3 linked regions of the Coturnix japonica genome follow. The protein of the gene in region 3 interacts with the protein of the main gene of each other region in a pairwise test. Links are inferred from orthologs where the notes say so. Each region holds a gene or a part of one and is shown on either strand. Other genes may lie near its edges. The genes, in order: BTBD1, BTBD2 and TOP1.

What was found.
Region 1: the proteins of TOP1 (region 3) and BTBD1 interact in a two-hybrid assay, tested with the Homo sapiens proteins (2 studies listed by BioGRID). The link is inferred for Coturnix japonica from reciprocal best matches to the Homo sapiens genes TOP1 and BTBD1.
Region 2: the proteins of TOP1 (region 3) and BTBD2 interact in a two-hybrid assay, tested with the Homo sapiens proteins (2 studies listed by BioGRID). The link is inferred for Coturnix japonica from reciprocal best matches to the Homo sapiens genes TOP1 and BTBD2.

What each region holds. Positions count from the first base shown.
Region 1 is NC_029525.1:9,963,239-9,967,612, forward strand, and holds the start of BTBD1 (BTB/POZ domain-containing protein 1), read right to left. Parts: upstream 2,867-4,374; 5' UTR 2,787-2,866; coding exon 2,371-2,786; intron 1-2,370.
Region 2 is NC_029543.1:1,317,060-1,321,418, reverse strand, and holds the start of BTBD2 (BTB/POZ domain-containing protein 2), read right to left. Parts: upstream 2,865-4,359; 5' UTR 2,854-2,864; coding exon 2,300-2,853; intron 1-2,299.
Region 3 is NC_029535.1:4,186,771-4,190,364, reverse strand, and holds part of TOP1 (DNA topoisomerase 1), read right to left. Parts: intron 2,734-3,594; coding exon 2,590-2,733; intron 1,785-2,589; coding exon 1,599-1,784; intron 385-1,598; coding exon 316-384; intron 1-315. UniProt on the Homo sapiens protein: Releases the supercoiling and torsional tension of DNA introduced during the DNA replication and transcription by transiently cleaving and rejoining one strand of the DNA duplex.

The sequences.
Region 1 (4,374 bases), on a different chromosome or scaffold from region 3:
GTTCTTCCTCCACTCAGCTCAGTGGGGCTGAACACCACTTCTCCTGTCAGAAAAGGGAGCAACTGCTGCAGCCAACTTAAAATAGTGAATAAATATGTCCACAAGAAAAACTGAAACACTGTCAAAATAGCTTGGCAAAGGTGTTCAAATTGTTCAGTTTTTAACTACTAGTAAATTATCTCCAACAGTTTTTGCATTACTTCATTACTTTAATGTTTCTTTTATCTTGATGTTCCCTGCCATGAATATACAAAGATCCAACTCAGTCCCAAGCAATTATACTTCAAAACGGTCTCTGCAAAGATTAAAGGAGTGCCCTACAAAAAGCACTCATCACTATTTGAGCAACTTCTTTATGACAGATACAAGGTCAGCAGTGGCCAACACCAAGGAAATAACAAACAGCTTGTCTTACAGTTGTTATACACTAAGAACAGTGTATAGGGGCACAGAAGTCCCGTACTAGTTTGTGTTAAAGAAGATCTCAAGTATGTTTCTAACAAGGTGTTACAATTTATATTTACTCCAATATTAGCTTGTTGCACATGTATCAAGGCCTGAGTCTAGAGAGGGAGCACTATAAAATACTTAAGTTCATTCAAAAAAGCTGCTAAGCATTCCATAGCAAAGACAACATCAAACCGGAGCCACCCCAGCAGTTGATCAGTCTGGTGATGTTTAGACACGATACAAGTATAATCAACGTACTTACAAAAGTCCCCTGGCCATTACCAGCCCTACAAACACAAGGTGGCTTTTGTTTGCTTCTAACAGCAACTCTACGCTCACTTCTACTTCTTAGCCTTACTCATAACTCTCCTGCTTCTGTGCTTCTGTATGCAGTCAAAACAAGCACCTCTCATTATAACTTCTCACTGTCTGGTGGCTTTTACACATACACACACATACATGTCACAGTGACTTACTTTTAACTACTGAAATCATTTCTGCTTGGAAGACAACTTCCCACTACTCAGCACCAGCCCCTCACCTTAAAGTCTGCCATTCCCTCTTTGCTAAGATAGCAGAAAATACAGTTTGTTTGCTAATAAGCAACGAACTCACCACACTGTGGCTTTCCTTAAAGCAAAACCAGTTGCTGCAAACCTTGTTTCCACAATTACTAAAGCACCGTGTTATTCTTCTCACAGTTCTCACCTCAAACCAAAAAGAAAGCTACTTTTTTTCTGCAGTACTAGAAGTTTAGAGACATTACACATTTCTTTCCAGGCAATAATAGTGCTTGATTTCTAAATGTTCATTACAGAAATCTGTTTAATGCATTTTATACAAGTTTTGCCTAGCAAAAAGATATCATTGAGCAGACGAGTTGTCTGACCACAGGTCAGCAATAAACCTGACGCACAGAGAAAGTATCAGGAATTGTCTCTGTGACCATTTACCACCACACTGGGTAAAACTAAAGTGCAGACAGGTTTGTAACAAACCCTTCTGTGGTCAAATCAGAAACCAGTACCCACTTTGCACACTTCCCCATCACCGCACTCCTGCTCTCACTTATGTGACTTGTGCATCACATCAGATAACTGTGTTCTGCTGCATGTTCTCTCCAGCCAAAGCTATCTGAAACGTGTGACTGCAAAAGGGATGGTAACTATTTGGTTATGATGGTAAACACAATTTGCTCTGCCTCTGAAAGATAAAAAGCTCATTGTAAGAGGAGTGATGGTCCTGCATGGAGCCAAGAGTGGGATGTGGTGATTGTCATTTGCGTTCCTTCCAACTTGGGATATTCTATGATTCTACGAGTAAACCTTCAAAGTAAACTATCAAATGAAACGAAAAGCTCAGTACAACAGCTTCAGTTCCTTCCTGGCGCCGTTGGGTGGACGGGCAGTGCCAACAGAGATTGCCGAGCCACTAAATCCCATCGTCTTGCAGAAAACACACAACCAAACAGCCCGACAGGGCAACACAGTATCACAGAATGACCCGGGTTGGAAGGGACCTCAAGGATCATGGAGTTCCAACCCCCCTGCCTGGCAGGGCCACCAAACATACACCTTTACTAGATCAGGTTGCCCAGGGCCCNGGACGGGGCATCCACAACCTCCCTGGGCAGCCTGTTCCAGGGCCTGACCACTCTCCTAGTGAAGAACTTCCCCCTAACATCCAACCTAAATCTTCCCTCTTTTAACTTAAAACCATTTCCCCGTGTCCTGCTATTGTCAGCCCTTTCCAAGACTTTACTCCCCGAGCGGCCGTCCCGGAACGAGGCCGCTGCAGTCGCGGCAGGGCGCGCAGGCCGTAGCAGCAGCAGGACGCAGCAGGACGCCGTGCCCTTGCCCCGGCCGAGCAGCGCACACTGCCGTCCCCACCCCCGCACCGCCCCCTCGCCCCGGGCCTGACCTGAGCAGCGCCAGGAAGGCGGCGGGCTCCACGTCGGGCAGCTCGATCTCGGCCGAAGTGGTGGCCATGCCGCCGTTAAACATCGCGTCGAACACGGCGCTGCCGGCCGCCAGCACGAAGCGGTGCGCGGGGATGCGCTGCTGGCCGGGTCCCGGAGGCGCCGCCCCGGCTCCGCCGCCTCGCGGGCCGCCCTTGCCCACCACGAAGTGCACGTCGCTCAGCAGCTCGTTGGAGAACAGGAAGGCGAAGCGCTCCCGCAGCGAGCCCTTGGTGGCCTGCCAGTTGTACAGCGGCTCCCGCTGCAGCACCGCGCCGCTCTCCGCGCCGGTGGGAGCGGTCGTGGTGGCTGAAGCGGCGGCGGCACCGGCAGCAGCGGGAGGCGCCTCCACGGGCGAACCGCCACCGGCCGCCGCCATCACCGCCCTGAGGGGCCGGGCCGGGCCTCACTCAACCGGCGGCACAGGCATCTCCGCCGCGCGAAGGGACGTCAGCAGCTCAATGCGCAGGCGCGCAATGACGCCATTCCGGCCCGATGGGCGCGGCCATGTTCGGCGCGGGGGAGGCCGGGAGTAGCGGGGGGTGTAATGGGACTAGAGAATGGGGCTGGGGATGGGATGTGGAGATGGGACTTGGTGCGTTGACAGGCTGAGGGAGTTGGGTTTGTTCAGCCTGGAGAAGAGAAGGTTGCGGGGTGACCTCACTGCAGCCTTTCAATACCTGAAGGGAACTTACTCCCAGGAGGGGAGTAAACTCTTAGAAAGGGCTGACAATAGCAGGACATGGGGAAATGGTTTTAAGTTAAAAGAGGGAAGATTTAGGTTGGATGTTAGGGGGAAGTTCTTCACTAGGAGAGTGGTTAGGCCCTGGAACAGGCTGCCCAGGGAGGTTGTGGATGCCCCGTCCTTGGAGGTGTTCAAGGCCAGGTTGGACGGGGCCCTGAGCAACCTGATCTAGTAAAGGTGTATGTTTGGTGGCCCTGCCAGGAAGGGGGTTGGAACTCCATGATCCTTGAGGTCCCTTCCAACCCGGGTCACTCTGTGATTCTGTGATTCTGCGTTAGTGACCGAATAACGCTGTGCTGTGAAGGCACGTGGGACGCAAATTGGTTATAATAATACCTAATGAACCGGCAAAACGAGCATGGACGCCTGTTCTACTTATTTCTGGAATAACATCAAAATATTGTTGCCGTTTGAGTATGTGTGCTGTGCCATTTATGTACAAAAGCAATCGGCTCGAAGGGATGTGTTTATTTCCATCACAGACTTATCACCCTCGGTCCAGCAGTGCTGTCCTTTGAGACATAAGCTGGATCCTTTCGCCATCTGCTGGAGCTTTGCTGTACATACAGCAGCAATGTACAGAGCTGGAGGTATCCGGCACAGCTCCTGACTTGTCAGCGTGTGGCTAAAAGAGGAATATAGTATGTCACCTCTCCGCGTTTAGGTTTATTATTAGGACAAAACTGAGACCAGGAAAATGCGGTGTGCTTCTCAGAACGAGTTTTAGGGAACCTTAGGCGAGATGGAAGCGATTGAAATGGGATAAAGGGCACGAGAAGACATAGTATACCGACCGTACAGCAGCGAGTAGCACAGGGGCTATATTTAAAAGTAAGGTCATACTGCTGACTTGGAAGAACGAAAGCAGCACCTTTGTGTTTTCCTTGCCCCAAGGTGGACAAGGAGCAGAAAGGAGGCAAAGCCCAGTTACCCTCCAATAGCTGAGGCTCTGAGAACCCTGGAAGCTGAGATGTTCTGCAGCTTGCTGCTTCGGTGCCATATAACATTCAGAGGAACCTGAAGCGACCAGCTTGAGAGCTCTTTGTAGGGGAGGAAAGTGCCAGCTTTTATGAAATTCAATGAATCAGTTGTCATGGGAACTGGGGAAAAAAAGCACGAGGGAAATGGTGACAATGTGGATGGGTGCATTACTGTCTGGGAGTCGTTTTGTTTCAGTCAAGGGATGACCTGGGCATTAATGAGTTCTCTTCGTTGTTATCTT
Region 2 (4,359 bases), on a different chromosome or scaffold from region 3:
AACCACCAGCTCCTGCTCCAGGGGCAGGCACAGAGCTGGGCTGCTGTTATTGAAACCACTGCCAAGCACCTCTGAGAACTGCTGGGAAGGCAGAGCTGGGCTTCCCCAGGGAAGCACTTGGGTCCTGGTGGATGTGCTCAGCTGTTCCCTGAAGCCAAGGCACTGAGCAGCCACCAGCAGTGGGGAAGCAAAGACTCCAACTAATTCCCTGACCCATTATGGAAAGGAAGAAGCTGGGAAGCACGGCAGCTCCCAGTGCAGCAGAGCTGGGTGCACGCTTCGATGGAGAGAGGTAGAAGGCGGTACGTGACGGAAGGCACGAGGCACAACGCTCCGGCTCTCGGGCTCCCAGGAAGTCCATTGCCACCAGGGAGCTCTGGTTGGAGTTTACTGCGGTAGGAAGTGACACAGCAGCTTTTTTATTCCTCCTCGGTTTCCATCCAGTTTCTTGCTTGGTCCCTTGCTGCTCTGTCCCCCATGCACAAGGCTCCCACGGGTGCAGTGCTGTGCCAGGCAGCATTGCTTGTGTTGGGAAGGAGAGCTGGGGACAAAGCACGGCAGGAAGGAAAGCACAAGAGGCACATTCTGCGACGATGGTGAGACAGTTGCAGGCTCTACTTCCTACTAACAATTAACATCAACTAATTGCACTCTAAGTTTGCCATTCTCATAGGCAACACAGAGCAGAGTGATCTGAAAGGGGTGTTTGCATGAAAGAAGCTCTCCAATCTCTACTCCCATTCCACTCATGGAAAGGCCGGTCCGGTTTGTTTCACATTGCTGAACCCAAATGGGAAAGACACAACAGTGCTCCAAACTCTGCAAGATCAGAGATTTTTCAGTTTCCTTACAGCACGAGAGGGACACGAGGTAAGAAAACCCCTCTCTATGTGGCATCTCCTTCCCCTTGCTAAGGAGCACCCAGCTCAGCTCTGTGCCCACAGCACCACGGTAACACCAACAACAGAACACTGCAGAGCCACAACCACCCCACAGCTGCAGAGAAACCCCAAAATACCCATCCTGGAAACCCCAAAATACCCATCCTGACACAGGAACAGAGCGACACGTGTGTCATTAAGCTCTATGCAGTCCCTGTGTGGGATGTCATGGCATGGCACGCTCTGTTCTACCTTCACCGCCCAGGGATCACAGAGCAATTAAGGAGTGTTTCACTTTGGGGCTGTTCTCATCTATGGGCTGAGTGCCCCCATACATGGCTCTTCCCACATCCCAACCCATCCCGCTCCCCCACCCCATTCTGGGCCCTACATACAGCTCTCCCCTCACCTTCACACTCTAACCATGACTTTCCCCATTTCTCCCCTCCGTTCCCCCCATACCTCCTCTAGGGCCTATTCAAGGCTCTCCCCTCACCTCCAGACCCCAAACATGGATATCCCCACATCCCACTCCCCACACCCACAGCCCTCCCCATCCCCTCTATGCCCCCAACCCAAGGGCTTACACATGGCCCTCACCTTCACAACCTAAACCAGGCTCTCCCCTCTCCACCCCCAGCAATCCACGTCCTTCCCTTTACCTTCAGCCCCTAAACACAGCTCTCCCCTTAGGGCCCTCCTCATCATCCCATAACCTACCCACAGTCCTGCCCTCACCATCATACCCTACACATGGCTCTTCCCTCACCTTCAGACCCTAAATGTGGCCCTCCCCACCTCACCTACACCTCCACAACCTAAACCCATCCCATTGCCCTCCCCATCTCCCTACATCCCCCTTAGGGCCTACCCACGGCTCTCCCTATACCTACACACCCTAAACCCGGCTCTCTCCACACCCCACTCCCTCTATGCACCCCCCAGGGCCTACACTCGGCTCTCACCTCCACAACCCAAACACAGCCCCCCATATCCCCCTATATCCCCTATACATCCCCTTTAAGGCCTCCCACCCCCTTATATCCCCTATACATCCCCTTTAAGGCCTCCCACCCCCTATTATCCCCTTATTAGCAATTCCCCGGTTTAAGGGCCTTCCACAGCCCCCGCCATATGCCCCCCTATTATCCCCTATACATCCCCTTTAAGGCCTCCCACCCCCCTATATCCCCTATACATCCCCTTTAAGGCCTCCCACCCCCCCATATCCCCCCTATATCCCCTATACATCCCTTTAAGGCCTCCCACCCCCTATATCCCCTATACATCCCTTTAAGGGCTCACCCCCGTATATCCCTATAATCCCCTTTAAGGCCTCCACCCCCCTATATCCCCGATATACATCCCCTTTAAGGCCTCCCCACGGCTCTCCCCCCCCTCAGGCCTGCTCTCCCCACCTGTGTGCCGGGATGCGCTGCGTCCCTCGGCCTTTCCCCACCAGGAAATGCACGTCGCTCAGCACCTCGTTATTGAAGAGAAAAGCGAATCGTTCCTGCACCGTCGGTTTAGTCGCCTGCCAATTATACACCGGTTCTCTTTGCAGCCCTCCGCCCGGAGGGGCCGCCCCCACTCCCAGGCCTCCTCCTCCTCCTCCTCCAGCCGTCGCCGTAGGGTTGTTGGCTCCGCACTGGTTATAGGTGAGTCCCGTTGGAGATGCTGGGGTTCCTTCGGAAGCGGCTGAGGCGGCACAGGCCGCTCCGTTCCCCGGGGGAGGCGGTGGGGGTTGAGGGCAGGATGAGGACAGACCCCCGGGGCCGCTCCCGCCGGCCGCCATCTTGTGCGGAGCGCGGCTCGGCGCGGGGCGGCGCTGCAGGAGCAGCAGCACCACAAGAGGCGGGCGGGACACGGCGGCGGGATGGAACGGGGAGAAGGAGATAGAGGAAGGGATGGAGGGGATGGGGGCGGCGGTGGGACGGGGGGAGAGGAACAGAGCGGGGCAGCACCGCGGCATGGAGGGGAAGGGAGGAGGGGGAAAGGGGTGAGGGGAGGGGCGGGGCGAAGGCGGGGGAGTGAGGGGAGGGGGCGGTTCTGAGGGGAGGGGGGGGCAGATGTGAGGGGGAAAGGGGCAGATGTGAGGTAAAAGGGGCAGATTTGAGGTAAAAGAGGTAGATTTGAGGGCATAGGTGTAGATTTGAGGTAAAAGGGGCAGATTTGAGGTAAAAGGGGTAGATGTGAGGGGAAAGGGGTAGATTTGAGGTAAAAGAGGTAGATTTGAGGTAAAAGGGGCAGATTTGAGGTGAAAGGGGTAGATTTGAGGTAAAATGGGTAGATTTGAGGGCACAGGGGCAGATAGGGGAGGGGTGGGCAGTTGTGAGGGGTATGAGGGGCAGATTTGAGGTAAAAGAGGTAGATTTGAGGTAAAAGGGGTAGATTTGAGGTAAAAGGGGTAGATTTGAGGTAAAAGGGGTAGATTTGAGGGGAAAGGGGCAGATAGGGGAGGGGTGGGCAGTTGTGAGGGGTGTGAGGGGCAGATTTGAGGTAAAAGAGGTAGATTTGAGGTAAAAGGGGCAGATTTGAGGGGAAAAGGGTAGATTTGAGGTAAAAGGGGTAGATTTGAGGGGAAAGGGGCAGATAGGGGAGGGGTGGGCAGTTGTGAGGGGTGTGAGGGGTAGATTTGAGGTAAAAGGGGTAGATTTGAGGTAAAAGGGGCAGATTTGAGGGCATAGGGGCAGATAGGGGGGGGTGGGCAGTTGTGAGGGGTGTGAGGGGCAGAATTGAGGTAAAAGGGGCAGATTTGAATAAAAGGGGTAGATGTGAGGGGAAAGGGGTAGATAGGGGAGGGGTGGGCAGTTGTGAAGGGAGAATGGGAGGTTGTGAGGGAGATAAGTGGCTCTGAGGGGCAGTTCTGGGGTCTGGGGCAGATCTGAGGGGTCTGAGGGGCAGATGTGAGGGGAAAGGGGCAGATTTGAGGGCACAGGGGGAGATAGGGGAGGGGTGGGAAGCAAACACACAGTGCTGGTGCATCCCTCCACTGCAGCAGTGCACTGCCTGCCCCTCTGCTGCCACACGGAGCTGTACCTGGTATAGGGTCGGAGCTTTGAAACCCTGCACAGCTGAGGGACCTCATGGGATCGATCTCTGTGGCTGCAACACACCGGTGTGGATGGACGGCTTTGCTGCAGTGCACACCCGGCAGGTTTCTGCTGCATTATCCTAATTGGGGGGAACTCCCATTACCCACAGCTATGCTAGTGCCCAGAGCCGGCCATTAACTGACCCTTCTGCATGCAGGAATGCACGGCAGCCTCGAGAGGGAAGCTGCTTTACCTCTGAAATCTTCCTGCTATGACTGATAACCGAGCACTGAACATGGACACACAAACACCTTCTCCTTGCATCACGTCGCAGCCTTACACCCCTTTTGCTGGCGGAGCTGCTTTCCATGCATTTCAGCGTTGGTTTTTTCACTCAAAGCTGTGTTTTTTCGCTCTGTCCTCCTTGTGTTTAGCTGCAAACA
Region 3 (3,594 bases):
AGGGATGGCTTCTCAAAGTCTGTCAACTCACAGTCATCTTTTCCAAACTGTGAAAAAACCTATCCAAGTCAGAGCCAGCCAAGCTCTCCATTGTAAAAGCCCATCACTTCAGGAACCTGCAGCCAAAGTGAGCAATACAGACAACAGACTGAGACTCTCCCTCAGGTCTCTGAGGCCATCTCTGGGAAAAAAAAAGCAACAGACAACCTGCCACTGAAACCATTTTTGGAGCAGAGCAGCTGTTATTGCCTAGTGCAGAGTGAGCCTGTTTATGGTCCTCTACCACCATTCCCTCCCAGATAACCATGTGCTTACATTGAGGCGGTCAAAAAGGTCATCCTCAGGCTGCTTGTTCTCCATGAACAGCTGAAGATTCTTAAAAACCTGTAAGAGAAGAAAACCCACACCTTAAGGCATCAGGACTGAACATTGCTGGACAGCAGTAATATGTGAGAAAGTAACACTGTTGAGATGCCATTTAACCTGTTCTCAGGCAACAGTGACAACGCTGGGCACAACTTCCAATAGGCAAAGATGATTCTCTTAAGACAATGCTTGTGTTTAAAGTTCTGCCCCAGCAACAGGAGTCCTGGGCATTTAATGCTCTTTGTCCTTTTTCCTTTTGATCCAGATTGCAGGAGACTTGATTCTGCTCTGCTTAGTTGCCGAACCGAGGAGACCTCAATGCTACCACCTGCTCCCCTTTCTCTCAATAATTATTCCAGCCTGAGAGAACTCTGAGACATTTCCCACAGAATAAAGCTACCAAAACCCCATCCCATCCCTTTGCACTGCAGCAATAGATGCTTCATCCAATTCCATCTTAAACAAGTCTCATTGGGATGGGAAAATAATTGAAGCCTTTTTGATTATACAGAGACTACTAATCCCAGCTCGGTGTACTCCAAATCCCCAGTTTCCAGCTTCTCATCAACACACATTTTTCCTCTATAGATGCCTTATACTGAGAGATTTCTAGTTCCACAATAATCAGTTCCCTATTGTAATTTCTGAAGAAGAGACATGAAGGGAGACCAACATGAGTACATTTAAACTGAAAAATGTTCTCTTCTTTAAACAAAGGAGTAAGAACTCTAGCATATGCTGATTTCTGTAGCAGCCATAGTTTGTAGTTATTTTTCTCCCCCCCCCCTTTTTTTTTTTGCCAAGAGGTCAATACTTAATGCAGTTAGTCATTACAATTAATCTAGTACTGTATGTGTGTTATCCAACAGACTGTGCTGACTGCAGAGGTGTGGGCCAGATGCAAGGTTTGATTACATCTACAAAACCAGCGTCTTTCTGGACAGCTCAAACTGCTGGATGGGGATTTACTCTGGAATAAGGCCAAGATCACAACAGATGTGAAACTGGTAGAGAACAAAGAAATAAAGGAAGAAACACTGCCCAGGAAGGTTTTGGCTGGTAGGTACCAAACAAAGGTGCTACCAGTAAGAAGGGAAGAACGTTCATTGATTTGTTTTCTGGCTCGCTGTATCTGACCAAGGACAAAGCACCCTTTTATTGCCAATAAGACTGTGCACTGAGCACATTTCCCTGTGCTTCAGTCTGTGCTCATGTTTGAGGAGATATCTTACCCTCTTCTCAACAGGGACTTTGTTGTAGTATCGGATGGAGTCTTTTCCGAGGAAGTCAAACTCAACCACGTATTCCTGGCCATCCAGCTCAGGATGCAGCTTGATATGTTCTACTCTGAGAGAGCAGCAGCCCACGGTGTCAGCTGTCTCACCTTCTTCCTTTTCATTACCAGCTCTCAGAGCAAGCTACATTTATAACAAGACAAGAGAGGAGAGGGAAGCATTTCAAACCATTCCAGTAAAGGATGGTTATACATCTTCTACCTTTTTCCTGCATGCTAAAGAAACAAACTTCAAACAACATATATGATACTTTAGGTTATTAAAGTTAAAGGCTACAATTGGCTGCATTAAAATGTATTTTAGCTGTCCCAGCTAATCCAATTTCTGATTGTTTAAGAAAAACCTTAAATAGTCCTATGAAAACACAATTATTCAAACAAAAGTTCCCTGATTTGCATCAAACTATTTTGAACAGGAACCGTTAATTTGGCTGGTCAAAATATCGTGTAGTAGCAGGCAACAGCTCTATGAGAGCAGGCTTTAAATAGCACCAAGTGATTCAATATCACTTCAGTTTTCTTTATGCTATGGTGAGAAATTTAGCATAATTATGAAACCTCATGACTATGAGGTCAGCTGAAGAGTTGACAAAGTAGCAGAAATTCCCAGCAGGAAAAAACTGAAACAGCTGGAGACAAAAGGTCTGCAAAGCTCCCAGTAATTCAACTGGGAGAGATTCTGGGACCCAGCTGTGAATTTTGCCTGAGCTAAAACAATGCTGCCTGAAATAACCATGGTCAGTACAATAGTTCATTGCTCTTGATTTCAAGGTAATGGGAAAGGAAAAGGAGATGGAGGCCTGAGCACCAGGAAGTCTCAGGATACCTTAGTAACTGGGCACAATTCTGCCTTAGGAACAGACACACAGCGGTCCTGAGTATCCCCAACAGGGCAGGAGGGGTAGCGGTGTGCTGGGGGCGAGACTTACTTTATCAATGAAGTACAGAGCCACAGCTCTCTGCCGTACTTTCATCTCTTTGGATTTCCAATCTTCTCTGTATTGATTTCGGATTTTATCTACGCACTTCTTCAACCTCCGGGCTGTCTCATACTTTTGCCAGTCCTTCTCACCCTGAGAAATTGAAATACAGTCAGCATCAGAAAGCAGGCAGAGAACCGATTCCAATCTGCTTCTCATGGCATTACAAGTATGAGGAGCGAATAGTTTCACTGTACAAAAACACTGACATTTCACTGCTAAAGCAGCTCAGCTCCAAACTGTGCTGCCAGGCAGCTGTAAGCAATTCAGATTTCCAGGATATTAAACGCTTGTACGGAAGCAACTATAAAGACACCAGAGACATTATGTCTTCCATGCTTCTCAATATATAAACGGCTTCCTCCGCTTTACTCAGATAACACATACTTTCAGCTGCGTAATTAAGCATGCATCAAATGTAAAGGCAATATCACTCATTCATCAGTATTATAATACATTCAAGCCATGGCAAAAAGAGGGCATGAATTCACAAGGAACAAAGATTTCCTCCATACTTGTAGGACACGCATCTTTCCAATCCAGGAAAAAAATTCCTTACAAAAATGATTTCATGAGAAGAACTTAAATTCTAACCCCTGAATCGAAGACTTTTTTTCTTTCAACAGGCTTTTATGGAACTAATCCATTGTCCAGTTATTTGCTCCCACAGCACAGTTTGTTTCCTTCAGTCATGAGATTGTCATCTTCTCAGCCATGTTTTTTACTTTAGGATTGACTTAGGGCCAAAAGAGGATAAAATACCCACCAGGGCAAGTTTGTTCTTGATTAAATTATTTCCTTTACAGCTTATAAAAAGCAAGGGCTCCTATCAGGAATGGCACAAAGCTTTTCAAAAGATCTATTTTTTAGATTTCATTTGCTGCAGTTGCATTCTCCCATTTATTTTTCCAAGGGAGAACACAAATAAATGTACTTCTTACTTCTCTCCTAGCC